Struthio camelus: one gene and its partners. The protein of the gene in region 2 purifies or fractionates together with the protein of the main gene of each other region. This does not show direct contact. Links are inferred from orthologs where the notes say so. Each region holds a gene or a part of one and is shown on either strand. Other genes may lie near its edges.

What was found.
Region 1: the proteins of POLR2H (region 2) and POLR1E purify together in Homo sapiens (affinity purification with mass spectrometry; 3 studies listed by BioGRID and IntAct, with this or other methods). This does not show direct contact. The link is inferred for Struthio camelus from reciprocal best matches to the Homo sapiens genes POLR2H and POLR1E.
Region 3: the proteins of POLR2H (region 2) and RPAP2 purify together in Homo sapiens (affinity purification with mass spectrometry; 3 studies listed by BioGRID and IntAct, with this or other methods). This does not show direct contact. The link is inferred for Struthio camelus from reciprocal best matches to the Homo sapiens genes POLR2H and RPAP2.
Region 4: the proteins of POLR2H (region 2) and POLR3K purify together in Homo sapiens (affinity purification with mass spectrometry; 3 studies listed by BioGRID and IntAct, with this or other methods). This does not show direct contact. The link is inferred for Struthio camelus from reciprocal best matches to the Homo sapiens genes POLR2H and POLR3K.

What each region holds. Positions count from the first base shown.
Region 1 is NC_090982.1:2,270,313-2,277,943, reverse strand, and holds the start of POLR1E (DNA-directed RNA polymerase I subunit RPA49), read right to left. Parts: upstream 3,007-7,631; 5' UTR 2,948-3,006; coding exon 2,887-2,947; intron 2,732-2,886; coding exon 2,628-2,731; intron 579-2,627; coding exon 502-578; intron 1-501. Other genes in the region: ZBTB5 (zinc finger and BTB domain-containing protein 5), read left to right, coding at 3,868-3,884. UniProt on the Homo sapiens protein: Component of RNA polymerase I (Pol I), a DNA-dependent RNA polymerase which synthesizes ribosomal RNA precursors using the four ribonucleoside triphosphates as substrates.
Region 2 is NC_090950.1:22,750,645-22,758,614, forward strand, and holds the start of POLR2H (DNA-directed RNA polymerases I, II, and III subunit RPABC3), read right to left. Parts: upstream 3,004-7,970; 5' UTR 2,908-3,003; coding exon 2,835-2,907; intron 2,138-2,834; coding exon 2,054-2,137; intron 970-2,053; coding exon 876-969; intron 671-875; coding exon 587-670; intron 468-586; coding exon 350-467; 3' UTR 1-349. UniProt on the Homo sapiens protein: DNA-dependent RNA polymerase catalyzes the transcription of DNA into RNA using the four ribonucleoside triphosphates as substrates.
Region 3 is NC_090949.1:18,833,492-18,841,458, reverse strand, and holds the start of RPAP2 (putative RNA polymerase II subunit B1 CTD phosphatase RPAP2), read left to right. Parts: upstream 1-4,962; 5' UTR 4,963-5,002; coding exon 5,003-5,063; intron 5,064-6,241; coding exon 6,242-6,287; intron 6,288-7,967. Other genes in the region: GLMN (glomulin), read right to left, coding at 577-685, 1,507-1,626, 2,561-2,686, 3,172-3,237.
Region 4 is NC_090956.1:19,331,362-19,336,693, forward strand, and holds POLR3K (DNA-directed RNA polymerase III subunit RPC10), read left to right. Parts: upstream 1-4,258; 5' UTR 4,259-4,279; coding exon 4,280-4,390; intron 4,391-4,472; coding exon 4,473-4,560; intron 4,561-4,645; coding exon 4,646-4,773; 3' UTR 4,774-4,825; downstream 4,826-5,332. Other genes in the region: RHBDF1 (inactive rhomboid protein 1), read left to right, coding at 1-20; SNRNP25 (U11/U12 small nuclear ribonucleoprotein 25 kDa protein), read right to left, coding at 2,130-2,184, 3,246-3,320, 3,432-3,537, 3,940-4,030, 4,126-4,239. UniProt on the Homo sapiens protein: Core component of RNA polymerase III (Pol III) which synthesizes small non-coding RNAs using the four ribonucleoside triphosphates as substrates. Can mediate Pol I proofreading of the nascent RNA transcript.

The DNA of each region.
Region 1 (7,631 bases), on a different chromosome or scaffold from region 2:
CGGCTTCACTTCTCAGAGAAAAACAAAGACACAGGGATCAGCATCTCTTGAAAGGCTGTTTACAGAAGTAAGCCTAACTGCTTTTAAAAGAATTACTCAGAACCTAAGAGCACCAGGACACTGAAGTCTGAAAGCACCTCCTGCTGCTGACAGTTTTACACAACTGTTTGCTCTTCACTCTCTCTCCGCACCCGTTCTTTAACTAATAAGACATGACCAGGTCAGTGCAGTCACACTACAGGAGAGATACCGGCTACATCAGCAAACAGGATAAAACAACTGGAGCAGATCTGTGGAGCAGAGCACTTGGGACTATGGATCCAACATGCATAATACACGTTTCAGGTTTCTGTAGTTAGTAGAAGCAGAAACAGACACTAAAAGGAGAGAAAAAAAAGCAGCACCTTTGGGTATGCCCAAAGGCAAGACAAGATGGGTACGCCAACACAAGGCAAGATTCCGCCACCAGGTCCCTGCCACAGGTTTGCCCGCAGCCCATACCTGCATAGGGAATTACATTTCATAACTCCACTGCCAAAGTTATTCCCCACATATGAAAGCCTTTCAGTTTCCGAGACCTGAAAAACACAGGAAAAATTACCTTAACGGGCGGCCATCTGTCTGCGACTAACCTCTATATCCATTTTATTTTCCCAAGTACCACAAAGCTCTGCATTCCCAGGCATCAGATGCTAGTCATGTGTAGATAAAGTGCATTTTGTCTTCTTTGGGAGCATTTTGCATCAGGTCAAAGTCTTTAAAAGAAAGACACTTCTGAAGCTGCAAGTACTTGTTCTTTCTTGGCCTACTTGTTCTATCAAGCAGCCAGAAGACAAAGAATCATTAAAAGGAAATCATGAGACTCATACTTTAAATTAATAGTTCATGGCGGTAACAAACCCACACGTCACAACAATTAAAATACTTGGCTGGGTTGACAACCATGCTTCAATCCAGAAGCAATGGCCAAAAGTTTCCGTGTAACTGTGAATGAGCCATTTAAAGATTTAATGTTGCCAGGTGACCGTAACTGACTGATAAAGAGCAAGCACTATGAGGTAGCACCTAAATACATTTTAAACGCCTGTGCCTCTACTGTATGAAATCCTTCTCCTGAGGATTTGGGCTGAAAACCACCACATATTCCTTGAGTGAGCCATGCATGTAAACAGCTGTAAAACGTCACAAGAGCAGTCAAAAGCACCTTCTGACCTGGAACTCTGCTTTCTCTTCAATGAAAGAAAGAAAAAATTCCTTAAAATGTAATCTAATCAAAAAAAGACTTTGGCAAAGAATTTGGATTCATTGTGTAAACACAACGAAACCAGGAAACAATGTGCAGACTTTGTACTTGCATGGACCTGGTTATCTTTTAAGTAGCAGCTTTTAATTTTCACGCATTACTTCTTTTATTAGCTGGGTTACTAGAGTAAATCAAGCACATGCAACATCAGTATATCAGCATGAGCTTCAGAATACACCACTGTGTATCAATCAAAACTATTTAATTAAGCAGGTATTCAGTTTTGACTGAAAGGTTACTAACTCTCATTTGTCACTATCAGTATAATATACTATACTGTGTGTTTCAGGTTCCTTTCCATTCCAAAAGTCACAGCCCAATAATGCTATGTTTGAAAGAGCACGAGGCTTGTTTCATTCACTTGTCTCATCCTGAAATGCTCAAAAGAGGACAGTTAATGCTTTGAGACCTTGGCAGCATACCAATATTTGGTACTACCTCCCTGCAGTACTGTTGACATCTTGTGGCTTGTTAGAGAAACTATAAACTGCGTTTGCTGGGAACTTCACTCACCAGAACTTCACAGTAAGAAAACAAGTATCTATCCCCTTCTCACCCTCAAGCAGAGCTATCTTGCACATTAAACTTTGCTCTACCCTACCTCCACCACCATCACTCCTCTCTCTACTACAATGGGAGCCAATATCAGAACTAGAACTGCCCAGAAATCCCTAAAATATATCAGGACATAGAGATTTTTTGGAAAAATTGGAAGGAAGGGCTCAAAATCTGATCACTTTTAAAAGAGTCTACAAAATAAAGTCCTTACTGATTTTCAGAGGCTCATTCACTGTATTTGTATTTGCAAAAGCAAATAGGAAACCAAGAAATGCTTTGAAGAGAGGGAGAGAGGTGCCTTAAATATTAGACAACACTTTTTATCTTACCAGGGTTTCTAGTTCTTATTTGTGGAAGCTGTCAGCACCAGAGCCTTGAGGAAAATGGTGTAAAAAATATACCCAAACCTCAAAATATGCAGAGATGGGATTACTTATGCTTCCTAGGCCAGGTGTCAGGTGGAATCTCACCCTGATCCCTAACAGCTGAACAGGAGCTTGGATGCAGAAGGAGGCAGTTTGGGGACTCTTCTGATACACAACTCATTGCTGCTAACATGTAAGTTATTATATAGAAGCTAAAATGTATTAAGTGGGTAATTTTTAGAACTATAGTTGTTACAACAGTAAGTTTAAAAACGTACATATACAGAAACACGTATGTTTCCAAATTTTCCCGGCGACTCCTCTGGGCAAAACCGCCAAAGCTTACAAAGGCCAGGCGCTAGTTAAAAAAGGGTGACCCGGGATGCGGCCGCAGCACTTACCAGGATCCTCCGGTGCCTCTTCCGGGGGTTGGCGCTGTCTCTATCCCGGTACACGGTGAAGCGCATGTCGTCGGCCTCCCGCAGCCTCCCGTTGGAGAACTGGACTGCGGGGCGGACCGGGGGACTGGCGTGAGGCACGGGGCCACCAACAGCCGCCCGCCTAGGGCCGCTCCCCACCCTGCCGCGGAAGAAGCCTCGCGCCGGGCCGGGCCGGGCCCCCTTTCCCCCCCCACCCCCACTTGCTCCAGGCCCACCTCACCTAGCAGCGCGGGCTGCTCAGCCTCGGGATCCCCACGGTATCGCCAGGTGGCGGCGGCCATGGCGCGGCGGCGGCAGCGGCAGCGTGCTGCGGCGGGGGCGGGGCGGGGGGGCTCCGCCTCCGGCCAGGGCGGGCGGGACCGCGCGGGAGGAACCGCCCGCCCGGCCGAGCGGGCCGCCCCCTGCGAGCCGTTCCCCCGCTCAGCATCACCCCCTTAGCCCCGCCGCGGGCCAACCCACTGCTCGGGGCCTACGGCCGGGCCGGGCCGGCGGCTGCACACGCCGGCTGGGCCGGGAAGGGGCGCGGGCCGCTCCCGCCGAGGGCTCGGCGGAAGCAGAAGCGGCCCAATCAGGGGCCAGTTTATTTGCAAGTCTCGGGGGACCTGATTATTTGTCAGTAACGAGGTCGCTGATTGGCTAGAAGGAGGCTGTCGGCCCTGTGGTTGGCTGGCCGGCTCGTCTCCTTGTGGGTGCGAGCGTGCTCCTCTGCATGCCCCGCCCTTTCCCTGCTGAGTGGGCTGCAGCCCTATGGCGTCACTTCCGGCTGGCGGCGCGGCCGCTAGAGAGTAGGGGCTTGTGGGGGGAGGAGGCAGGGTAAGCAGGGCCGCGGACAACGAGCGTTCCCGGCCCCTCCCGCTCTCCGCCGACCCCCCTCCCCCCCCGCTCCGGCCCTTCCCGCCCGGCGACGAAGAGCGACGGGTGGGGAGGGGAACACAGGTGAGCGCGAGGGGGCCGGCCGGCCGGCCGGGGGCAGCGGGCGCGCGTGGCGGGGCGGCGGCGGCGGGTGACGTGTGCGCTACATTAGCGCGGGGGGCGGTGTCCACTGCGCATGCCCGGCCCTGGGCGCCGGCGGAGGGGAGGGGAGGGGAGGGGGCTGCGCCGCGCCGGGCGCCCGGCCCCTCCCGGGGGGGCGCAGCCGCTCCCGCTTTGTCCCCTCTCGCTCCGTTGCGACGGGGCCTAGCGGCTCGGGGGCGCCGGGAAGATGCTGGCGTCTCGGAGGTTTGTCTTCAGGGCTTGGTTTGTGCGTGGGGGGCGAAGAGGGAGAAGCCATCGCGCTTCTCTGTGTCCGTGGTCGTGTTCCAAAGGCTGCCGCTGCTTCACAGCCCCCGCGCGGCTCTCAGAGCGTGGCGAGGTGGCCCTGAACGCACCGGGGGAAAAAATAGCAACGGGGTGCCGTGCAGCGAGGCGTCGCGGTGCCTGCAGCGAGGTGTGAGTGAGAGGCTGGCCGGGCAGAGCTCCGCCCGCGCGGCCGGGGCAGCTGGAGTGGCGAGCGCCGCCTATAAACTCTTTGTCAGGTACTCGGGAGCGTGACCTGTTTGTGTTGAGAAGTAACTGAAGGGGGTCACGTAGTTCTTATGGGTCAGTGGAGGCTCTGTTTGCAGTTCTGGTACTGTTCACGGGTTTCCTTTTGTTGGAGTCAAAGTTTTTGTAGGCTTATGCAAGCATGTCACTTTCAAGATACTAGTCATCTTGCAAGCGCAAAGTCAAAGAGCGCAGAATTCAGGCACACCATTTACCAGTTAACAGAATCTAGTGAAATGAAGCTGACATCTCGCCTCTGCTTCAGGATTCTTGAAATTATTTGATTCTGAGCAGGACATCCTATACAAAAACACGTTCCTATGCATGAGGTACTGTTTTTTTTTTGTTTTGTTTTGTGCATGGGGATAGTTGTATAAGATATAATCTTAATAGATGGATGTATTTTTAGCTATTAATATTGCAAGGATGAAGTGCAGAAGCAACCTTGAGTCTTAAGAGAGAGACTCAAAACTTAGATGCTCCAGGTGATGCCCTAACTTGATCCTTCAGTGCAATGCCTCTCAGAACACTCAGGAAAGACTGCAGAAGCATTTAGTAGTTCTTCTCTGCAGGTACTTTAGTATTTTGGAGTTTTAAAAGAAAAATGTCTTTACTTGACAGGTTAGAAAGCAGGATTTTTTTTCTGGTGCTTGGTATATTTGTCAGATTATTCATAACAGGTCCATGTTGTGGAGGGTAGCACGCAAATGGAGAGATGTTACATGTACTGCTGGCGTACAGATGTTTTGTACCAACTAATTGTTTCTTATTACTGCATGTATTATCTCTGTGGGTTGGTGTGGTTACATGACAAGTTTTCTCACGTTCACATGAACGAAGACACTTTCTGCTAGGGTCAAGCTGGTAACCATGCTGCTGCTGTTGCACTTTGCTTTATAACATATCGGTTTACAGCAAAGGGAGAGGTAGGCTGATCTCTGTGAAAACAGGCAAGAAATGTACCGTCTTTGCTCGGACAAAAAACTACTTGGTTTCTTCCCTTCCTTTAAAGGTTATTCGGAAAGAATTTAGTTTATTTGTCATACATCTGAATAACTTGAATAGTTACGTTCTTGTGTGACTTTCAAACAGTGATAAAGAACTTTTTTTAAACTTTTCCTTAGTACACAGTAAAATATACAGAATTGTATAATAGGTGTGTGTAGAGATTGTGTAACATAGGAATTTTCTCTTCTGAGCAGTATAAAATGATATTGTTAAGTTTTCAGAATGAGCTTGGGGAGATCAGAAGCAAATACTCTTGAGAGTTCCTATTTGGAATGGAATATTGATCTGTTGAAGCATTTATGTGGATAATTATTTGCTGAAGTTAAACATATGCATAAAACTAATGCAGCCTTTGTGGAGGTGGCTTTACTAGTGTTTGTTACTCTGACCTAAACCATTTTCTAGCAAAAACAGATCTCTTCAATAAAGAGTTGAATTAACCCTAGTTTCATCCAAGTGGTTATTTAAAAGGTTAGGAAAGACACCTTCGGAATCGCCAAGGAAGGTGACTGGACAGGAATTGTGTAAAATCCTGAAACTTCCAGTACAGTGACTTTGAAAACCGAGATTTAGAATTTAATTCCCTATTGAGCAAGCAGGCATTAGAGCTGTGTGCGGCTGGTCTTTCCTTTTGGACTCCTGCGTGCAGCCCTTTGGCTCTGTCTAGTATTTGTGGTTGGATTCATGAACGGGGAATGACTCTTAGACAGGAAAAGCTGGCAACTGAATTTTCTTTTCAATGTTGGGCGTTCTTCCGCAGGACAAATGACCAGTACCAGGGTCACAATATCGTGAACCAGAAGTAAGGCTTTCTAAAATGGTGACAGGGTAACCATAAGTTCAGGTTGATTCTCGCTGGTAGGTGTTTATAGTTCTGTGCTATTAACTGGCTTTGCCAGTTCTGTGTGGCAGTCTTCCCTGCTTTTCCCTTTGTAAATACATCAAATAGCGATAGCATTTAAGTAGACGGCTACTCTGTCTCACACAGTAATACACAGAAACAACCTCCTAGGTGTCTTAAGCTGGAATGGCATATCAAAATGCAGGAGTATGATGCTTCTCAGTGTGTATCTTTGCTTTCAAGTACGGTGCTCTGCTGCAGGATTTAGAGTCTGAGAGATGCATGATAGGGCTGAGATTAGGTGAGCCACAATACAAGGAACACAGGTGGATGGGCATGCATCTTGCCCTCACAGGTGGAGTCAGTTGCTTCAGATAACCGAGAAAAGAAAATCTAAGAAAATCTAATTTCTTTTAGGAAACTTTGTATTGTTCCTTTTAAAGATGCTCTTTGCAGCTGACAGGCTGTGCTGTTACTGTTTACTAATGATTGTACAAGTTACAAACTGGTCTTGCTGTAGGTCGTAGCATGCATTTACAGTACCTTTCAGATGATGAGAAAATACTAGGTCATGTGGTAATCTCTTACTCCTCTCTGGAGGGCTGGTGCAACCATCAGCAGCTTTTGCAAAGCGGTTTATCCCTGCTGATTCTTAGACAAGTTGTAATGCATGAGCTGTGAGTAGCTGAACTATACATAAAGCCTGGCTAAATGGACACCTCAAATATAGTACTGTAAAATCAGCTGTCAGTCAGTGAAGTCACTAGTTACTGATACTTTTCTGTATCTTGTCAGGCACAAAATAAAATGCCTTTTTTGTCTGGCACTCACAAAATTGTAGCCAGCATCTACGAGCAATGTAGTGCTAGAGTCTACTGTCATGCCTTAAGCTTTTAGTTGTATAGGGCAAACCCTATACAACTAATTGTACTACCTAATTTTAACTACCAGTAACTGAAGTTCCACTTTAGATTCAGTCTGAAAAAATCCTTACAGCAGAGAACACGTATAACTGCAGGCTTTGAAGGGATACAGCTTGCTGAAAATGTCAGGGGAAGCTGAGACTTCAACTTTTTTTCCGCACCCTCTTTCCTTTAAACTTTCAAGTTTTTTTTCAGAGGGAACTTGTGTTTGCTTTCTGTTTGAACTAGTATCTTGAATGTGAGTCAGAACTACAGTCTTTAATCTGAACTGTGTCCTTTAATGCTGGATACAGTAACAACATTAAATAGATCTTTACTCAAAGTTGTTATTTTCACAGACTTTACAGTGTGTTATGCTAAGTGCTTTTTTTTTTTTTAATAAGTGAAAGAAAAGTTTTTGATTCTGCAGTGGTTTCGTGCGAATGTGCTTGTTAAGTATCTACGTTTGTCCCATCTTGCTGCAGCTTAAACTTTAGAGCTGAAAGATTTGATGGGAAGAGCGGACTGTACATCTACCTAGTATTATCAATACCATTCATTCAAGAAGCAGTAATAATTTTCTTGTTTTCTTTGTGTTAAAGGTATTAGAAATACTATTTCATTAATACCAGTGCCAATAAAACCTGAATCCCTTAGTCCCTTAGGGATCTCCATAATATGCCTTCTCCCCGA
Region 2 (7,970 bases):
CCAGCCCCAATGCAGACAGGTGGCTGTCTCAGTCCAGCTGCCCCTGACTAGGGCTGGGGCTGAGCCTGATTTTGAAGTACAGAAAGACAGGAGGTCAGAAGAGACTACCACCTGACAGGACTGCAGAGCACCCGGCATGGCCCCTGCTTGGCTGTCAGGCACCTCTCTCCGCGTAGAAGGGGGTTGCAAATCCTGGCAAGAGTCAGAAAAGACAAGGGGGGACCATCCCCCTCCTCCACCAGCACCAGAGAGGCCAGGGAGCATGGATGCAGGGTCACAGGCATCCTGTTTACTTGCCAGCAAAATGTCTCTGGGACAGTCCATGGAGGCAAGATAGATGTATCCTCCTCTAGAAGGCCAGCTTCTTCATCAGCAGGTAAACCCTGGAGTCCACTTCAAACCCATGCAGATTGTTTGCATCTCCCTGCAGCCGCATGAGCAGCCCCCCATAGGACACGTAGGCAGAGCTGGGGCAGGAGGAGAGGATTAGTGAGACGGGGGAAACCCACAGGAGATCCTGTCTGACATCCCTGTGCCTCCCCTACTACCCTGGGGCACTGCTCCCCCTCTGGGGACAGACACTCACAGGCGTGTGGCTGCCTCTGTGGACGTTTCATCCCCTTCGATCCTGTACACCTTGCCGTACATCACGTACTCAAACTGGTCTGCCCTGCAATGGGACAACGGGAGCTCAGAGAAGAATCAAAGCTGCATACTTCCCTTTTCCTGGCATCCCCCATCCAAGCACCCTTTGGGAGAAGGTACCACACAGCCTCTCGGCATTTAAGCTCTTTCCTCGCCACCACCTGGCTGCTCTGTGGATCCCAGCAGGCACAGCTTGTGCCACCCACCCACGCCAACTGGATCCCTGGTACCTGGAAGGTCTATCGTCTGTGGGGTTATACTCCCCGTCATCCAGGGTGCCGTCTTCGTACAAGGTGCTGGCAATGACCAGGCGGAATTTGTCTCCTGGGATAAGAGGGCACAGGAGCCGTGAGAACGTGGGTGGGCGCAGCCAGATCAGCATCAGGCTCATGGGGCAAAGCTGGCAGTGCCACAAGCTACTCATTGCAAGTACCACATGATGCAGGCCACATACAGGTGAGCAAGCCAGTCCCAGCTCCATACAGCAGGCACGAGCTGGAGTATGGGAGCTGGGCACAGAGCACTTCTCATGAGATCCTCCATTGTTCACCCAAGGGCACCGCTCTCGACACCAGGAACACACATCTCAACGTGCAACAGCACAAGGGCCTGCCCTCCACGAGGCCCAGAGTGAGAGATGCCAAGCAGCACCCTCCCAGGCAGTGAGAAGAGCTCAGCATGATCCCTCCCCCATTTCCCCCCTCTCTCCATCTGAGACTGGTTCCAGGTTCCTTGTGACCTTTCAGCCTGGCTTTTGGGACATCTATAGCAGATCTGAGTAGGTAAAGGCAAAGGACTGCTCCAGAGGGTTTGGCACAAGCCCCACCCCTGTGTTCAGGCCTCCAAGAGGATTGTGGGGAGCGAGGAAAGATCATACCAGGCCCTTTGTCTCCTCCAGTTCCCCAGTCGTGCATCACCACCACGGAGGAGACCAGAGCCACAAGGGTACCACAGATGACATTTTCACTGGACGTAACAACAGATCTCCATACAGTGTCCCAGAGGGTGAGGCTGAGCTCTGGACAAGTACCTGAGACCCTATAGCACTAACTCCAGCCTTCCTCACTATGGCAAGACTCTGTCTTCAACCACAGGAACTCATCTCAGAAGTTCTCTTTAAGGCTTAGTCCCTAGCAACCGATGCAATTTCACCGCAGAGCGTATATGGGGAACAGGGCACAACAGAACCCAAATGAATATCATAGTGAGGTGAGACAGAATCCAGGTCACGCCAGCAGAGCAAAAGTGCCCAGCACCACTCACCTTCTCTGATCTGGGGACAGCAGAGGGGTCTAGGAAAGCCTGAGATCAACCTTGCTCCTCTGTGCACCAGTGCGTGCCTTCCCCCACCCCGGGCCGACACCAGCTCACTCCCGGCGCATTCTGTGCTAGCAGCCCGAGAGCTCACCGAGGTCCACAGGGTAGATCTGGATGTTCACGTCCAGGATGAGGTCCATCTTGAAGGACTCGCTCTCACAGTGCAGGCGGGACACTGTGGAGAGCAGCAGAGTCAGGAGCAAGGACACAAAAGACCGCACAGGCTGGGTGGGTGAAGGGTCCCAAGACTGCGCCATCCTCCCACCAACCAAGCATGAGCTATTTGTGGGAGCACAGGGCTTGGGGCTGGTCCAAGAGCCTGGGGCAGACACAGGTGTGTGTAGGAAGAGGAATGGGAGATGAGGCTGTGTGCATGTAGATGGAGCACACCAGGAGGTAGAGCAGCCCACGGTGTCGGGGAGGAAGGGGGCAGTCCCAGGCTGGGGGTGAGGGCCCAGGGCACACCGGGGTGAAGGGCGGACAACGCGCCTTGGGTGGGAAGGGCAGAAAAGGAGATGGGGCAGTCGCAAGCTAGGTGTTTGTGTGAGATGGGGGCACACTGAGGAGAGCAGCCTCGGGCTGCGGAGGGGGAAGGGGAAGCAGATGTAGCACACTGAGGGAGCAGTCCTGGGCTGGAGGAGGGAAACGGGACAGGTGGGCGGGGGGGGCCGAGGGGACAACGGGGCCCGAAGGGGGAGCAGGGGGACCCGCAGGGGGAGCAGTCCGAGGCTGGGGAGGGGGAGACGAGGCACAGCGGGGGGGCGGCGGCAGGCGCACGGCCAGGGAGGCGGCGGCGGCGGCCATGCCGGGCGCCTTCGAGAAGGTTCCCCGGAGGGCCGGCGGCGGCGGCCCGGGCGCGGAGCCCCGCTCACCGCGGTCGAACTTCTTGCCCTCGGGGTCGATGTCCTTCACGTCGAAGATGTCCTCAAAGAGGATCCCGGCCATGGCGCCGCCGCCTCCGCCGCGCGCGGCAGCAGGCCGGAAGTAGCCTCGGGAAGGGGGCGGGGCGGCGCTGGCGCCTGCGCACTGGCGGGCCCGGCCGGCCGCGGGTGTCCACGCGGTCCTAGCGCCCCTCCCGCGGTCTCTGGGGGCCCCCCTCGGGCTCTTCAGGGACCCCCCCCCCACACACACACCCCGCCGCTCCGCGCTCCCCGGCCGTGTGCAGCGCCGAGCACCCCGCGGGCCCCGCAGCCCCTCAACGGCCCGGCGTTACGCTGGGCACCTCCGCCGACTGGGCCCCCGGCTGGGGCAGGCGGAAAGGGGGCACTGCAGTTGGGAGTGCGTTGCAATTAGGGGGTATTGCAATTAGGGGGGTACCTTGCAACTCGGGGGTGCATTGCAATTTGGGGTACATTACAACTGGGAGTATTGCAGTTGAGGGTGCATTGCGGTTGGGAGTGCGTTGCAATTGCGGTGGCATTACAACTGGGGTGCACTGCAGTTAGGGGGTGCCTTGCAATTGGGGGTGCATGGCAAAGGAGGACAGTGCAAAGAGAGGGGTGCATTGCAGCGAGGTGGGGGCACTGTGACGAGGGGAGCGCACTGCAGTGGTTGGGGGTGCATTGCAGCAGGGAGTGGATTGCAATGGGGGGTGCTTTGCCATGCGGGGTACCTTGCAATGGGGGTTGCATTACAAGGGGGGGGCGCATTGCAATGGGGAGGTGCGTTGCAGTGGGTGGGGGGGTGCATTGCCGGGGGGGGGTGCTGGCTGCCGGCCTCGGGGGGGCCCCGGGACAAGCTCCCTGGCGCGTTGCTGCCCACCCCGAGACTGGCGCAGGAGCCGGGCAGGGTGGGGGGCAGGCACGGGAGCCGACCCCCTTTTGGGGGGGCCTAGACCCCTTTGGGGGGGGGGGGGCTGGCGCAGCCAGCCGGATGCCGGCAGGGGGAGCTGCGAGGCCGCGGATGGCAGCGGCCGGGGCCGCGCACGCCGCCGCCGCCCCGAGCGAGCGGCGCCGGGGCCGGGGGGCCCCGCAGCGGGCTCGCCGCCCCGATCCCCCTCCCCACCGCGGCGGCGTCGCGAGGAGGCGTTTGCCCTGGGCCCCGCACGTGCCGCCGGGCCAGCGGCGGCCACTGGTGTCATGAGTTTGGCGGACTCGGCTGGCCACGGCGAGGGGCCGGGCACGGAGCGGGCGGGAGGCTCGGGACGCTGCCGAGGCTGCCCCCCCCGCCACGGCAAGCGGTGCCACCGTGGTGCCAGGCAGGCAGGCAGGACAGGGTGGCCTCTTGCCCCCTGCAGGCGCTGCCGCCACACCAGGGGCCACCATCTAACCAGGGTGTGTGACCCGCCGTGCTCCGGCCCCCCGTGGGCCACCAGGCATGGGTGCCGTGGGGCTGGCGGTGGCACCGGGGCCGCGGTCCCAGCTGGCGCGGCGGCGCTAGACGTCGGGTGGGGGCCGGGGGTGAGGACAGGGCCAACGGCTGTCACCCGGTGGCCTGCAGATGAACCGGAACGGCAGGAGGAGGAGGAGAAGGAGGAGAGCGGGAGTCTGACAGCGCCGCGCGGGATTTCGCGCCTCGGGGCGCCGCGGGGTGCCCAAGCGCCTGGCGTCTGCTCAGGGAGCCGCGAACGCTGGGTCGAAAGTTCAGCCGCGCTGGCGCACACGCGGGGTCGGCCCTGTCCCCCCCCCCCCCCCCGGCCCCCAAATGCCACGTGCCGCCTGGCTTTAACCTATTCTTCCCCGGCTCGGCCGAGACTCGTGCCAGCCCATGCCACCCCGTGGCCCCATGCTGGGGCTTTGCCGAAGTTTGGGGAGCGGGTGCCAGGCTGGAGGTGGCACCGAGCGGTGCTGTGCGGCACAGCGGTGCCCCTCCGCGGGTCGGGAGATGGGGGCTTGGTGTCTGGGCCAGGCGTCCCCCTGGTGTGGGGACGCTGGAAGGGAAGGCGGCATGGTGCCGTGTGTGGAGCACATGTCACCAGCCGGCCTGGGCACTGTGGATCTCCAGCGCACGGCTAAGGCGGCTGGAGAGAGGTCTCTCCAGAGCATGGCCCGTGGTGTCCGGAGACGAGACATCTCCAGTGCTTGGCCATGGTGTCTGGAGGTGAGACGTCTCCAGAGCGTGGCCCATAGTGTCTGGAGCCGAGATGTCTCCAGCACATGGCATGTGGTGTTTGGAGCCAAGGCATCTCTGGAGCATGGCACTCGGTGTTTGGAGCCAAGGCATCTCCAGGGCTTGACCATGGTGCTTGGAGCCGAGACATCTCCAGCACACGGCGCACGGTGCTTGGAGCCGAGACGTTTCTGGCACGTGACCCACGGTGTCTGGAGCTGAGTTGGTACATAGCCCATGTTGCCTGGAGCGGGGATGTCTCCAGGGCACGGCCCCGGGTGCTATCCGGAGCTGAGGTGTCTCCGCATGGGTGCTGTGATGTCTGGAGCGGAGACACCTCTGGCACCCCGGCCGGGCTGGCTGGGTCTGGCCTCTCTGGCGCGTGCCCCGTGCCCGGAGCCGGCCGTCTGCGGCGCAGCGGGGGGCCGGACCCGGCGACGGCACTGCGGGCACGCAGGTGGGGACGGCGCGGCAGCGGCGTACGCTGGCGCGCGGGGGCCGGCGGCCGATCGGGGGGGCAGCCGGGCGGTTCACGGCGGGGTCGCCCCGCGGCGGTGCTGCCGAGCGCGGGAACAGCCGCTCGGCTTAACGCACTGCGACGTCACCTCCAATCTCCGTTCCTTCAAATCATCGTCTCAGCGGCCGGGTCTCCTCCCCCCGCCACCCCCCTGCCGCCCCGCGCTCCCAGTCTGCCCCGCCGTGCCCCCCAGCATGGCAAGGGTGCCGTCCGGGGGGCTGGCAGCGACGTTGCTGTGCCCCAGCCCGCCCAGGCAGGCTGGCACGGTACTCACGGCTGTGCCAGGGCTGTGTTTTTTGGGGAGGGGGCCTGGTGTGGCGCTGGGATGCTCCCCGTGCTCGGGGGTGCCTGCTAGGCGAGGACAGGGGCATGGCTGTGTCCCCCCCCTTTGGGTGCTCTTGGGTTGGGCCCACTGCGAGGTGACAGGAGGGGACAGGGTTCACCCCGGGTTTATTGCACCCAGCTGCCCCTGTCCGCCCATCGCTGAGACCTGGCACATTCGGTGCAGGTCGGCAGGGCTCAGGACAGGCGGCGTGGGCTGTGTTTGCCAGCTGGCAAAGCAGGCGCCCGAGGGACGCTGCTGCCCACGACCTCCGCCAGCTGGAGGCAGGCAGGATGCCGGGGAGCGGAGGCAGAGGGACGGCAGCCCGGACGCCTGGGCCCCGCTGCCAGCTCCGGCTGCTTCCCTGCCCTAGCGGGACGAGGGTACATCCGAGGGGAGCTGCGGCGCGGGGCGAAGGTGGGCCTGGCCCGGCTCGTGCGCTGGTGGGGCAGCGGGGCCAGCCAGGCGCCAAGCCGCCCGCGGAGGCCAGCTGGCGAGGGGAGGATGGCGCCAGCTTTCCGGGTGCCCCCCAGATGCCGCGGTGCCGGGGCGGCAGCGGGGACCTGGCGCAGCCCCTCGCCCCCCCGGGGACCGCAGCCGCCTCCTGCCAAGCCCTCCCTGGCTTGGCCGGTGCCCAGAGCTGTAAATCAAACCTGCCCTTGCCCCCCTGCTTGAGGCCGCCGGTGGGGTGGGGGGGGGACCGGGGGGGGTGTTGGCACAGGCACCCCGGCATCCGGCTCGGGGCTCCTGGCCCTCCGCGGGTGCCGGCCGCCTCGCTGACCCCGTGCCAGCGCGGTGGGCACCCGCGCGCCGTGCCGCAGGTGGCCGTCGGGGAGCCGCGGGGGGCCGCGTGGGCTGCGGGGCCACGGGCAGCGCCGCTCTGGGGGGGCTCCGGCCGCGCTGGGGGGGCTCCGGCGCCAGGCCCGGGCTTGGTGCCGGCAGATGTCAGTGTAAGGCCGAGGTGGTGGGAAACACGGCGCAGGCTGGTGTTTCCGTGCTCTGCCCGGGGCGCCCCGCTGACCCGGCTCGGCCCCGGCGCCCCGGCCCCGGCGCCCCTCCGGGCCCAGGCCGCCCTCGCTGCCCCCGGCACACGGTGCCGCTGCGCCGGCGGGGTTTGCCAGGGGGGCAGGAGCGCGGCGCGGGAGCACCCGCTTGCCAGCCCGGTGCCTGGTGTCTCCCCCTTGTCTGGGATTAAGCAAACCCCGCTGCGAGGGCGGCTGGGGTGGGAGTGTGGCGGGGAGGGGGGGAAGCACCCCGCCGGTGCCCCCAAAGCAGGGCACAGATGGGCACCGGCTCTCCCCCCACCTTGGGGCACCCCCAAACACCCCGGCACCGGAGGGGACCCATCGGCGGGGGGTAACCCCCCTCCGGCTGCCGGTGGCCCGGCCCGTCGCGGGCCGGCGTGGTGGCTGGCAGCCCGGTGCCCGCGGTGCCAGGCTCCCTCGGGAGCCCGGGGGGCCCGGAGCCCCCTCCGCTCGTTAGCTGCTCGCCTGTTATCTGCAGCCGATAAATTATACAACACAAGCGCGCCTTTGAAACGCAGCCAGGCCCTCCATCCGGTTGCGGCGGGGGGGCGGGGGGGGAGAGGAGCGTTTTGGGGTTGAACGTAACTAATTCAGCAAGCTGTCTCCAGCAGCCCTCGCCAAGAAGGGGGACAGCAATGGGGGGGACCCGTCTGGGGGCGCCGCCAAGCCTCGGGGGCTCGGCGGCGGGGGGCCGGGGCAGCTCTGACGCGAAGGATGCTCTGGCGCGGGAAAGTTGGGCGGCACGGCGCGGGGGGCCGGGAAAACTGCCCCCCCCGCCACCCACGCCCACCCGTGCCCGGGCGGGGGGCCCCCTGAGACCCTCCGGTTGGCCTTCCTTGGGCGCTGGCAGGCAGAGCCCTCCCCGCGGCTCGGGCCGGCGCTTCAGAGGCCTCGGCGGCCCGTGTTATCTGCCGGCACAAAGGAGCCGCGAAGCCGCCGTTGGGGAGCAAACAACCGGGCAGGGAGAGGCCGGGCGGCTGGCGGGCGCCTGGCGGGCACCTGCGCGCCGGGGGGAGCAGGGCCCCGCAGGGCCCCCCCGGCCGGGGAAACTGAGGCAGCGAGGGGCAGGCAGGGCGCGGGGCGGGGATGGGGGGAC
Region 3 (7,967 bases), on a different chromosome or scaffold from region 2:
ATTTCAAAGACTGCTAAAATTAGACTTCAGCTTGACAAAAGACGATTGTTTTGATCTCACATATCAAGAGAGAAACCACTACTTGTTACCTACTAGTAGGCAACCATTTTTATTATTTTTTTCATGTAAATCAGAAGAATGCAATTTCTCAAATAAATATTCCAACCTACTTAAACTAGAAATAACAGTTTTATACCAGAAAAACACAAAAATATGGAATTGTATGTTTTAAAAGTTAAATAATAAAGAATTCCACAAATCAGTATAATTTTTGATTTCTGTAACAAGAATATGAATAAGTTTTAATTCTGTAAATATTGTTGGTGCCATAACACCAACAACTTACAAATGATGAAAAATAGCTGAATACTGATTTTCAACTGATGCTACCACTTCTCTCTAATACCTTTTTATAACAAGCCAACACAAGCATGGAAATTATACCTTGTGGTATTTTACAGTAAAGCCTGTCAGGATAGAAGTGTTCTGAAACTATTTGAGTAAAGGCTAAAATAATTCAATAAATTAACAAGAAAAGTATTTAGCTCAACAATCACGCAATAAACTGAACGTTACCTGTCTGCAAAGGTTGAAGTAACAACATGACAGTTTGGCATACTTGCTCTCCAGAGGTCTGCTCAATCTGCTCAAGTAAACCCAAAAAAAGTTCCTTTGGATTACATAGCTGCAAGAGAAGAACGATGCATATTTTTTAATCATCACGGTCATGAGCTAAAAACCCCACCACGAGCACTGTGACAGAGAATCTCTTGTACATCAAATAAAGCAAATCTAAGCATCCAAAATAATTCTTAAGAAAAGCAAATATGAAGCAGTAAGTACTTGCTAATGTTTTCTGTAGAACGTATATGTGTATACACTGTCATACAAGCTGAAAACACAGCAAATATAATTGCACTAAACTCAATTCCTATAGTCTCTAAACACCTTACAGTACCTTAGCAAAGAACCGTTCCTTAGCAGTATAGATTAAAAAATAAAAAAAAGAACCTTCAATGTGAATGTAATTCAAGCAATAGAATTGGCAAGCTGTTTTCTAAGTAGCTGAGTGAAAGGAAACTGGTTTCCTACAGATTAAGGCTTATTTCCCTTCTACACCAGAACCATCAGATAATCACTGCCATACCTCCTATTTCTGCATTAGACAAGAAGTAGTATTTCCAAGGCTGGGGCTATCGCGGTGCCGACTGTAGCAGCAGGACGCCAAAAAAAAACCTTCTAATAGATGAGCTGCCTTTTCCTTCACAGTAGTGCTATAGCTCTTTGTTTTGCCTGGTTACTAATTTCATGAAATTTTTAAGAGGTTTATTTCTGAGAACACTATCCCGGTGCCTAATTCAGATGAAATTCAGGCCTATGAGTCAAAAAGTTATGGGGAACAAGCAAAAGAACCCAGAGTTACTCATGCCTTGTTTTCTTTGGAAATCAGCTTAAAAAAAAAAAAAAGTGTTACTGTATTAAAAACTATGTATTTCAAAAGCATACCTGTACCAACTGATCCAGTATCTTCAGGCAGTGTTCCCTCTTATCATCTTCCTGTTTATACACTAAAATACATCTAACTAGAGGACAAATGAGATTCCAACCCATATTCTTGATGATAACCTGCAAGCCAGATTTTCAGAGAATAAATCAAAACTGGACATCTTCTAAATATAGAAGACTGTACATACAATGATCAAAAATGAGAACAGATCAATGCCTTGGTTCTAACCAACAGCAGATAATACCATTGAAAGCTTAGTATCTATTATAACAGGCTTCTGTGCTTGACATACTTTGTATTCTTTCCCCATATCTGGCAACACAGCTGCATATTCCGTATAGTTTTCTTCAGTGTATTAATCCTAACATGTCGTTATACGTTTCCAGATATTTATATGATAAAACGTTTCAAATAGGAGATTTTTTGCTGGTTTTTGAATAGACAAATCAAGGAAAGAAAATTTAAAGAAATTATTGTTGGACAATATTTTGTCCACGGGAAAACCCATTCTTTGAAGACCTTCAGTTGCTACTGAAGATGATCACAGAGATCATAATCAGACTCGAGCAATATTGCCAAAACATTCCATCCCTCCCTTCCTTTCAGACTTCCTCTTTATCTATATTCAACGTAAGTACGTTCTCCCAGCCCCTCAAAGCGCATACACACAATTTCTCTTCCATTAGCATCAGCTTAGCTGTTTGCTCTTACGGTTTTGGCCAATGCTGTTATAGCCATCTGAAATTCTCTCTCCTGCCACAGAGGGCCACTGTCACTTTCTGTTCGTTATGAGGTTGGCCTCTCTTCTCCCTTCTGCTTAACTCACAGGAAAACAGCTGTTAATAGCTTTGTTAAGATTACTGTGACTTGAGTACACAAGTCATAGTAACTCAAATTACACTAGAATGTGCACTTCACACAGACCAACTGATTAACTATTCATATGTGCACCCTTACTCCATAGTGAAAGTAGCTTTCCCACCTCATATGCAGCTTTAACTATTAATGGTGTGTTTAGCACACAGCTAAGACGTAACATAAATCTAAACTTACCTTATTTTTCTCATTTTGAACTACTTCTAATAACTGAGCTGCATATCCATCTTCTAAACACTTCTGGCCTGCTACCTGAAACAGATTAAAATCTTCTCCCCTGAAATCAGCTTCTTCCAGAATTTGCTAGAAAGAAAATACGCATGTTTGACTCTGTATTTTATAAAAGACAAAAAATAAGCAAACCCAAGCTTTCATTGCAAAGTCAAATGGAATGTCTTTTCTTGCATATCATCTTTTATATACTAAAAATAATTACTGAGAGCCACTACAGAAGAGAAAGCAGTATTTCAATAGTATTTTCCAAGTCTAGACAACAGCATGTTACTTGGGAGATGCATTTTCTGCAACAATCTGCTAGCGTTTTGTTCCTTCACACAGCTACTGCTGAGTGAAACAAGAACATATCTTCCTCCAAGAGGCAGAAGTTACCAAGCATCTTGGGATAAGCACCAAAGAGAAGGCAATGAAGCATGAAGGCTAAACCTAGCTGCCCAATGAGGAGTTCTGCTAACAACCGTCCTGCTTTTAGGGTCATTTTGCTTTTAATTACAGTGTATAAAGACAAACTTACTCTGCTTTCGCCTACAACTGTTATGAAAAGTACTTACGCATCTCTGTATTATGGCTTGAAGTTCATCAACTGCCATTATAGTTTGACTTTGTTCTTCTGGCATTTAAAATTTCTGTAATAAATTAAAAAGAGTGCAATACTAAACCACCCAAAGTAAAAACAGAGGTTGAAAAATAATCACATTGTCAAAAGAACGCTGAATAGAGAAATGAGAAGACTCAAGACAAACATATTACGAAGACTGAATTATAGAAAGATAGGAGAAAAGCATCTTTAAGGAGTGTATGCTATATTATTCTACCTCCTGTACTTGCAGGAGATACTATTTTAGACAGGAAGCAGCCTACATTGCGTACAGGGGAGTAATTTTTCAAATGTTATCAGAGGTATCTTAAAAATTTGTCAGCAGGCTTTGGCTACTACATGAACACCTACATTGAGAACTGCAACTACTGCAGAGCAAGTCTGGACTTGCTGCGTACCAGGTGCGGATGTCCCCGCTACGCTACATTTGCTCTGAATATGCTAATCAGATGAGCTCTCTGCTTAGATCTGACTAGAAGGCTCTAATTAGATGATGCCTGGGATGTGCATAGCTGATCCAACCACCGTGCCAGTTTATATCAACACCGTTTTAGTCTCATAAAGATTACATGTGCAGTATCATTTACTTCTTTCTACTGCTGGTTCAGTGGCCTTTTACCTCTAGACACTACAACTGCTGTTGCTGAAAGCAGTTAAGTTAAACATTTGAGTAAAATTAAGTGCATATCAAGTTCTACCTGGTCAGGGCCATGACTTACAAATAAAGTCAAGTTCAGTTTTCTCACGTGATATATCATAGCGGTAGTCACATTCTTTCTTTATGCTTTACGTTAATTCCACGTGCATAAATATGGTTACATAACCACTGTGACTGTATGCACAAGTCACTTGCCTCTGCCCTTGAGTGAACAGCTAACTCTCACGAAAATATCCAAGCTCCGTATCTATACGGCCATCTCCATGTACGGTTCTCCATCTTTCCCCTTAAGTTTGACCTTAGCTAACGCAATACCTACGCATCTAAGCTATTCAGATATTTACAAAAATCAGTCAACTCACTATAACCTATAAAGCACCCGTATGTGAATTTTATTACTGAAAGAATAAATAACTTACTTTCTGTTCTAAATTGCCTATTTTAACATTTCTACTTCACTCCAATGTAGCAATGCATCGGGCCTGTCATTTTAATTTTGTGATTATCATACACTTTGTTAGCATTCACTGCACTACTTCAGCTCTTAATTTTACAGGATCTTACTAATTCCCCCCAAACAATGTAAAGATACTTTTGAACGTTAATAGCCCTGCATTTTCAGCCCTCAGTAACTTTATAATGCATTGACAGCCTTGAGGCATGCCCTGAGCTGCCAGGGATTTGCCAGCTGAGCCCAGAGCCAGTTCAGGTCTTAACACTTAATCCACTTCCGAATTAAGTCTTTTCAGTGGTTTCAGTAGCCAACGACACCTGAATCACGAAGAACTGTCCGCTACCAATTCTCAAGCGAACTGCCCCCTCACTGGTAACATCCAGTTGTTTTCAGCCCCTTCCCTCGCTGGGCGACGGCACGCAGGCCAACGCGAGGCGGCTGCCGCCCGCGCCCGCCAGGCTGAACGAAACGCGCACCACGCCGCCGCCCGCTCACCTCAGCCGCGGCCGCCGGGCTGCGGCCCCTCCGCGCCGCCACCGCCACCGCCTCCCGCCGCTCCGGCCCGGCCCGGCCCGGCCCGCCCGGCCGCCGCCGCCGCCTCTCCCCGCTCGCGGCCGCGGCCCGGCTCCGCCTCCCGGTCAGAGGTCAGAGGGAGGGAGCGCGGCGGCAGCGATGATGGCGGCCGCGAAGCCGCAGGGCGTCGCGAAGGGGAAAGCGAGCCGGCGGCGCGCAGGTAGGCTCCGCGTGCCGCCCCTCTCCCCCCCCCGTGCGGCGCCGTGGGCTCTCCCTGTGCCCTGAGGCCGCTCCGGCGGAATGACCCAACTCGCGGCACAGGAGGAGAGGAGGCCTGCGGGTTCCCGGGGTCTCTGCTGTTGCCTGTGCGGCGACAACGGTTGGAACACCTCCCGGCGCGGCTCCCGCCCTTCCGGCGGTGCCCGCGGGGCTGGAGGGGGCTCTAGAGGTTGCCGTGAGCTCGGTGGGGCTGGGGAGGGGCGGGCAGCGGTGCGGCGCCGCCGCCGCCGCCGCCTCCTCCTGGGGCTGCGGGCCCCGCTTCTGCCGCGGTGGGCGGCGCCGGCGCCGGGCGTCAAACGCGCCGCATTTCACAGCTGATCAAAGCCCCTGAAAATACACGTGTGAAGCTTATCAGTCTGTTTTGTTTCCGCCCTGCTGCTCCGTGTTTGCCTGGACAGTATTGACTGCCCAGAAAGTACTGAAAATGGCTTCATGTTTTTAAAAAAAAAAAAAGTGGCGTATGCACGAAGGAGATGGGCGGTGGCAGGGAGGACGGGGCTCCGGCGGGGGGACGCCGCGTCTCCTCTTAAGTGCGGGAGACGTCAGGTGTGTTGGCACGGAGGGGCTGCCTGGGCGGGCGCAGGAGAGCGGGGTTGGCGCAGGCAGAGCCCCGCTGCGTCGGCGGTGCCGTGCCGGAGGCCGCGGCCTGTCGCCGGGCGGGGGGCCGGGCGGGGGGCCTGCGTGGCCGAAGGCAGCCCCTGCCCGCGGCCAGAGTGAGGGGAGGGTGAAAAAAGGGTATCGCTTCCCAGCGGTGTGGCCGCAGGGGGAGAGCTGCGTTTCTCAGCTCAGACAGAAGCCGTTTTCCTCTCGCTTGCTCGTTATGCAGAGCCTGTCACACGAGAGAACAGCGTTAGGCCTGTCTGTCCGCTCGCGTACAAAGATTGCGTCTAACTAGTTGCTGAGTGGATTACCAGCTTACGGTAGCTAGGCGCAGCCACCAAAAACCAAGCGCCTAAGCAACTGCCTTGATTATGGTTACAGTTTGGAGTTTGTAATGTTTTCCTGGATCGAACTATTTGCACGGTGGCTGAGCATGGAAACATGACAGTTCCGTTTGTTCACGGCTTAAAATGCATTTTAAAGGAAGAAGGTATACTGATTTATCTATTTGATTTCTAGGAAATAAGCATTCAGCTGCTCTGAAGAATGAAGATGCTGCTCAGAGGTACGATTTCTAACTAGTAGTACATAGCGATCTCATTGTTTTGCTTCATTTTGATTATATTCTCCATTTCACTTTTTTCTTTTTCTTTCTCAAAATACCATAGCTAACTTAAGGAAATAAGCCAGTATACAGATCATGCTAACCTGTTTTCAATGATGCTGCATAACTTTTAACTACATACCTTAATATAGAGATACCTCATTCAAACACTTACAAGATAAAACACCACTTCCCTACTTAAAGCACTAGACAAGGTAGTGAGTGATAGTAGCTGTAGAGGGTGGTATTATCATTTTTTTCCCCTTGAAACCCTTTGATTTATTCCTTCTTTTCTTTTGTACCCTCACGCTCAGTCTTGTCCTAGTCCTTTTTCTTTCCTGTACTTGACGCCTCTCCTGTCAATCCATAGATGTTTGTCCCAGGCTTTTGGTCCAGCCCGTTCTGGGCTTCCCCTCCTTTTAAGAAGAGTCAGGTTTTATAGTTGGCTTTTTTAAAAGTAATACTTCTGGTAAAGTAATAATAGCTGACTTAAGTCAAAAGACATTGTTGTTGGATTTCAGACTGTACTGCTAATAATTAGATTTCTATCTTATTTTCTCAACTCTTTATCTAAATCTTGAAACACTGATTTCGGAGTGTCTTAACTCTTTAAGATCCTACTTGAGAAACCAGTTCCTATCCTCTCTGGGGGATTCTCAAATGACCCTTGGAAAAACAGATACATCTCTTCCATCTCTTATTGAGCATTTGCTGAACATGAACCCGGTATTCTTTAGAATGATTATAGCCAACTTTTGAGTCCAGAGCTGTATATTAAATCTTAACAGGGCTAAAAGCTGCAGGACAGATATTATGTGCTGTACAGGTGTGGGGGAGGAGCTGACATCTTCTTGTTGGATGAGCATGTAGCTGGCTCACACAATGACTCAGAAATGTCAGCCTGAGCAACTTGGTCTGGTTTGCCCCTTCCAAGTGCCAGAGATTTGGTTTACATAGCGTTTATTACCCATCTGAATGGCAGACTTGAACTGCGCACTAACTTCATGCGGATCTTAAGTCTCAGATTTGTCATCCTAGACTTGATAGTACTTAGGCCAAGCTCCAGGAGAATAGCTTGACCAGAAAGAAAAATGAAACGTGTTTAACCTCCAGTCTTTTCAGAAATGAAGATTAAATGGTTGTCCTTGTTTTACCTATGGGCTCATACCTTCTTCCTTTAACCTGGGTGGGACAGCATGTCACCTGTTCCAGAGCAGGAAACAAGTGGCTACATGAGCAGTAAATGCTGCCCAAAACGTTCAGAATCTTAGTGCCGATGCAAGTGGCAGGAGAGGGGTTTTTTTCTGGTGAGAGGAAGAACTACAAAGGGAAATCTCTGTTCTGTCACTTGGGCTGCTGGTGTTTAATCACCGTAGTTCAGAGCAGGAGAATAAAATTCAGCAAAGACCAAAATCCGGGTATATCAAGAAAATGTAATACATAGTGGAGTCTCATTGCAGCCACCTGGAAGGATATAATGGAACGTATGACCAATGAGTGCAAGCAAAACTGCAGTTCTTGTGGCAGAACGTGTAATTCCATTGTATAGTTAGACTCTTACATGCTTATGTAGTAAAAAGCGTACCCCTGCCTTTTGAGTTCTTACACTTTTGAGCCTCCTCTGTTGGGAGAACTGGTTTG
Region 4 (5,332 bases), on a different chromosome or scaffold from region 2:
TGGATGCACAGCTCCACTGAAAGGCAAAGACTTGTTTCTCGAGCAGGCACTGGAGATGGACTGTCTTTGCATTTGCTGTGTTGGTTCCGTATGGACAGAGCCTCTAATCCAAATGACACTTCTAACCCTGCCCGTGGTTAATTTAAACTGTCTCCTTAGCACTTGGCAGGCATGTTTTGCCTTATCTCAGAAGACTCTGAAAACAGAATGTTTGTGCCTTGTTCAATTGTATTGAACCTTTTCTGCTGCCATTATTTTTATTACACTAGTTTCAATACTACATTTTTAACTAGAGTTGTTTACTACTGCTAAGGTGGTGATTAAATGGAAAGGTAGCGTTTTAGCTACTGTTAATTGTTCTGCGTAGTCTGTGGCTACATTTGTTACTTTCTCCTCTATGCTGTTTCCTGCCCCTGTAGGGTAGGTAAGTCCTTTTCTAGCACTCCAACCATAGCCAGACATGGGTTTGCAGGTGGAAATGAAATAAGGGCCATAAAGGCTTCAGAAAACCACATCGTCTCTTTAATCCCTGAAAAGGGACACAGCATACAGCTCCGAGGCAGATGTTTCAAACAGCAACTGCAGAAGCTGTGGCATCTGAGAGTTTCCATTCGACTCTGAGTCTGTTTCCATTTGAAATGCTACAACCTTTTCCTCTAGGAAGGTGCTGAATCCACAGAATGGTCTTGGTACAGCTGGATTATCTGCTTTTATCTGTTAAACAAAGAAAAGGTGTGACAGGGACAATAGTTACTGTGGTAATACAAGAGTCCAGCATGCAATACCTGGCCTAGGCTGTCCATGGGGATCAGCTACTGCCACAGGTGACCCACCAGTGGTCGTAGGCACCTCGAGGCAGATAGATAGAGCTCCTCTGTCAGGGCACACGTTTTCTTATGGTGGATACCGTGAGGATGGCAGCATTGAAAGAGGGGGGAAAAAAAAAGCCACTGTGGTGGCAAAATAACATTTTCTAACCCAGCCAGTTAAGAGTTACAAAACAAAATGAACAAACAGGCATTTGGAAAAGCTGATGATACCACTGCTTTTCAGAGTTTTAGATGTGTTTTTAGATGGGGGGAATAGGGAAGCTGACACAAGTTTAAACTTACTAAGCTTGAGAATCTTGGCCACACCATGCATTTATGTGTACATAACTTTTTTTTTAAAAAATGGCAGCCTCATACTGGAATCATGAGGTCCACATGGGTTACAAGGAGATAAATATACATGTATAATGTTTCCTGTGTTGGAAGCATTTTTAAATGCATCAGTTGCACAAAAATACCATGAACGAAAGTTTTCTAGCAGCATGCCCGGCTTCGCAGGACAATGAATCAGCTGAATTCAAGTCTCTGTAAACTAGAAAATGGAGAAACTGAGAACGTAAACACAGGACATGAGCTGACGTCTCTCTTTTCTCTAGCTTGCAGGAAAAGGGCTCAAAATACATCCTCTGTGGAACAGTGGAGAACATGCTATGTTTGCTGTTGCATTTACTTATGTACACCCAATGGACGTTTCTGTTAACTGCAGGTGCTCTGCATGGTACAGGAAGGAGCTAGGAGCAGAGCGGGAGAAAGTTGCTCTGCTCTGTCTGGAGATAGTCTGAGACACAAAGAAGGATCAAATGAGCTGGGTGATGGCAATCACCTGTAGGCACAGAGAGCCCTTCTTTCTCCTAGGGATTAGTTAGCAGCCTGCCGCATTCCTGACAGTGAGCTCCAGAAATGATGAAGCCTAAAAGAAAGCAGCATCCTAGAAGCAGTCGTAAGGGCAAAGGAGCACTGCATTTAATGAGTCCCAGGATGTTGTGGGAGCAGATTCAGAATCCAAATGCAAGACAAGGTTAGAGATAAGCCATTGTCAGCACTAAGATACACCATTTCAGGAGCAGCAGCAATGCTATAAAGACACTGCGTTAGCATCCATGGCACAGGCTACAAAACCAAAATGTGGAAATGGACTAGAGCCAGGCTGTGTGCCTAATGCAGATATGGGCATTTAGGAATGCTCTGCTAAGCAGTGGAGAGCAGCAATATCAGCTGCTACAAGCATTAGCACTAGCCCTGGGAAAAGGAGGATGCTCTGGTAGCTCTTAATGGATTTTTCAGGACTTACCTGACAAGTTACTTTCGAAGTTTCTTTATGAAGCTGACCTCATCGCGGTTTCTAATGCCATACCTGAACAGAGAGTGATGCTGTTACATGCTAATTCCCCAGGAACCACCACCTTTGACGGACATCCTATTAGCCTCCTCTTTCCCCTGGGGAGATGGACTCATACTTTCAGGTGCTGTGCTTTAATGCAGGACAAAGTCGAATTCTCACCTGCGTGAGTAGAACATCCTGCCAGGACTCCAAGATGTGATCATCTACCTTTTAAACTGCAACACAGCCCAAGCGTAACAGCTATCACCCACAGATCGATCTTTCAGGGACAGCTTTCCTTACCTACGGCTGTCTTTCTAGGGCTTTTTCCTGCTTGCTAAATTTGTTTATATTACTTGAGACAGCTCCTGCTCCTCACCACCACCCCCAAAAGGGGTGTTGGACTAGATCACTCCACATCAACACATGCTGTGATTCCACGACTCCAAACACTCCACCTGATTGATTGCCTCCTTCAGACCACCTTGGATGCCCTCCCCCACGTGATGTGATGTGACCTGTCCCCATCCTCCCTTTGGTAGCTGCTCTCCGTGCGCTTCCATTAACACACACACACCAGTTCCCCAGACACGAATGGATGTGGTCCTCTGAACTAATGTGCATCAGGCGCGTGACACCAGCCTTTCTTTGCCTTCTCCGCCTGCTACTTGCCTTACCTCTCAGCCATACTTTTTTCGTGTTGTCTCTGCAGGGTACCTAAGGTGAGAACTGAGCAAACATGACCTATTCTGCCTTAGTTTTGGCATGGACACCAAAGGGTGATACGGGGGGGGCCAGATGTGGTGCGAACGGGATGCTCTCAGCGCAGGACAAGCTGTGGCTGGGGAACGAGCCCAGGCGGCCTCTCGGCCAGTCGGTCAGCGGCGGAGCGGTTGCATCGCCTGAAATGCCAGCCCTGCCTCGCAGTGATTTTTTTTTTTTATTTTGGGGGGGGGGTGGTGCAGAACCTAAGTGAGCCAGAGCAGAGCAGCCCAGACTGATCCCTGCCTGTGCAGCTGCTTTGCGGGCTACCCGGACAGCTTGACTCCAGCTCGTCCCCATCCCTCCCCAGCAAACCGCAGACGCCCGCTCACTCTCTCAGCTTCTTCCTGTCGTCTGCCAGCTTTTCTCCAGCGTAGGTTAAGTGGTATGTCCTCCATATGTACTTCCTGGGGAGGGAAAACGCTCAGGGCGGGCGGCAGGAGGAACTGCCCGCCTTGGAAAGGCCACCGAGGTGGGGTTTTGGGGGGGGGGGGTCCTCCGGCCCGCGCCCCGCTCACCAGCTGAGGTGCTGGGCGCCGCCCTGCCGCGCCTGCCGCAGCTGCACGTGCCGCCGCAGCGCCTTCTTCAGCTCCAGCACCGAGGCGTTCTGCACCACCACCACGGCTGCGGGGGCCGGGGGGGACCGGGGGCGGCTCAGCGGGGCCTGTCCGCTCCCCCCGCCCCGGCCCCGGCCCGGCCCCCCCCACCCCGCTCCCCCGGCCCCCCCAACCTCCCCCGGCCCCCCCAACCCCCCCAACCCCCCCCACCCCGGCCCCCAACCTCCCCCCGCCCCGCCCCGGCCCCCCCAACCCCCCCCACCCCGGCCCCCAACCTCCCCCCGCCCCGGCCCCGGCCCAGCCCCCCCCAACCTCCCCCGGCCCCCCGGCCCGGCCCCCCCAACCTCCCCCGGCCCCCCCAACCCCCCCAACCCCCACCCCGCCCCCCAACCTCCCTCGGCCTCGCCCCCGGCCCGGCCCCCCCCAACCCCCCCCGGCCCCCCGGCCCGGCCCCCCCCCCGGTACGCACGCATGGTTTCGCCGTCCGCCTTGCAGACGCGCACGGTCATGGCCTGCCCGTACTCGAGCGCCACCTGCGAGCCGATCTCCTCCGGCGTCACCTGCGGGCGGCACCGCCGCGACACGGGAGCGACGCGCCCCGTGGGCCGCGCCGCCCCCCCCGCCCGGGCCCCGCCCCGGCCGCCGCGGGCCCCACCTGAGGCGGCAGGTCGCAGAGCAGCGGGTCCTGCACCAGCCGCGCCAGCGCCGCCTGGAAGAGCTCCAGCACCTCGGCGTGCGCCAGCTCCTCCTCGGGCTCCGCCGCCGCCATCGCCGCGCCGGAAGGGGCGGGCGGCGCCACGGAAGCGGCGATGCTGCTCTTCTGCCCGGCCTGCGGCAACGTCCTGGTGGCCGAGGAGGGGCCGCGGTGCCACCGCTTCGCCTGCACCACCTGCCCCTACGTGCGCAACGTAACGCGCAAGGTGCCGCGGGGGGGCGGGCCGGGCGGCGGGGGGGGGCGGGGGGGCGGGAGGCCGGGGCCCCGCTGACCGGCCGCGCCCGCAGGTGACGAGCAGGAAGTACCCGCAGCTGAAGGAGGTGGACGACGTGCTGGGCGGCGCGGCGGCCTGGGAGAACGTGGACTCCACCGCCGGTAGGGCCGGGCCGCGGGGCTGGGAGGGCGGCGGCGGCGGCGAGGGGCCCGCTCGGACTCACCTGGCGCCCGCCTGGCCCCGCAGAGCCGTGCCCCAAGTGCGAGCACCCCCGCGCCTACTTCATGCAGATCCAGACGCGCTCGGCCGACGAGCCCATGACCACCTTCTACAAGTGCTGCAACGCGCAGTGCGGCCACCGCTGGCGGGACTGAGCCGGGCCCCCCCCGGCCCCGGCCCCGGCCCCGGGCCCCCCCCCGGGCCCCGGGCCCAGGCCGGCGCCCGCGGCCCCGCGGCGGGAACACCAGGCCGGCCGCGCCGAGGCCTGCGCGGGGCGGCCGCGCTCTCCTGCAATAAAGCTGCCCGTGGATGGGAACAGCGTGGTCGTCGTGTGGTGGTGGTCGAAAAGCTGTCGTTCGGCCCTGGGCCACCAGTGCCGCGCGTCTCGGAAAAGGACCTTCAGAGGCCCCGACGTGACGTTCTCTGTGGGTGGGTGGTGGGGTGGGCAGGGGGGTTGGGACAGGACGGGCCCATGAGGCCCTCCTTGCTCCAAATCACCGTGGTTCTGCTATAAACGCACTCACTGAAATGAATGCTCTGCCTGGGTTGTGCTTACCATGCAACACATATTTAAAGCATTGCTTAAAATACTTAACGGAGAAGTCTAGGTAAAGGTTAAAAGCAGGGATCTTTCTTACAAGTAATAGTCATCAAACAGCAGCCTGGGTCTGTCTGGTGGGTGATAGAACAGAGGCCATAGCAAAGGTGAAGGAG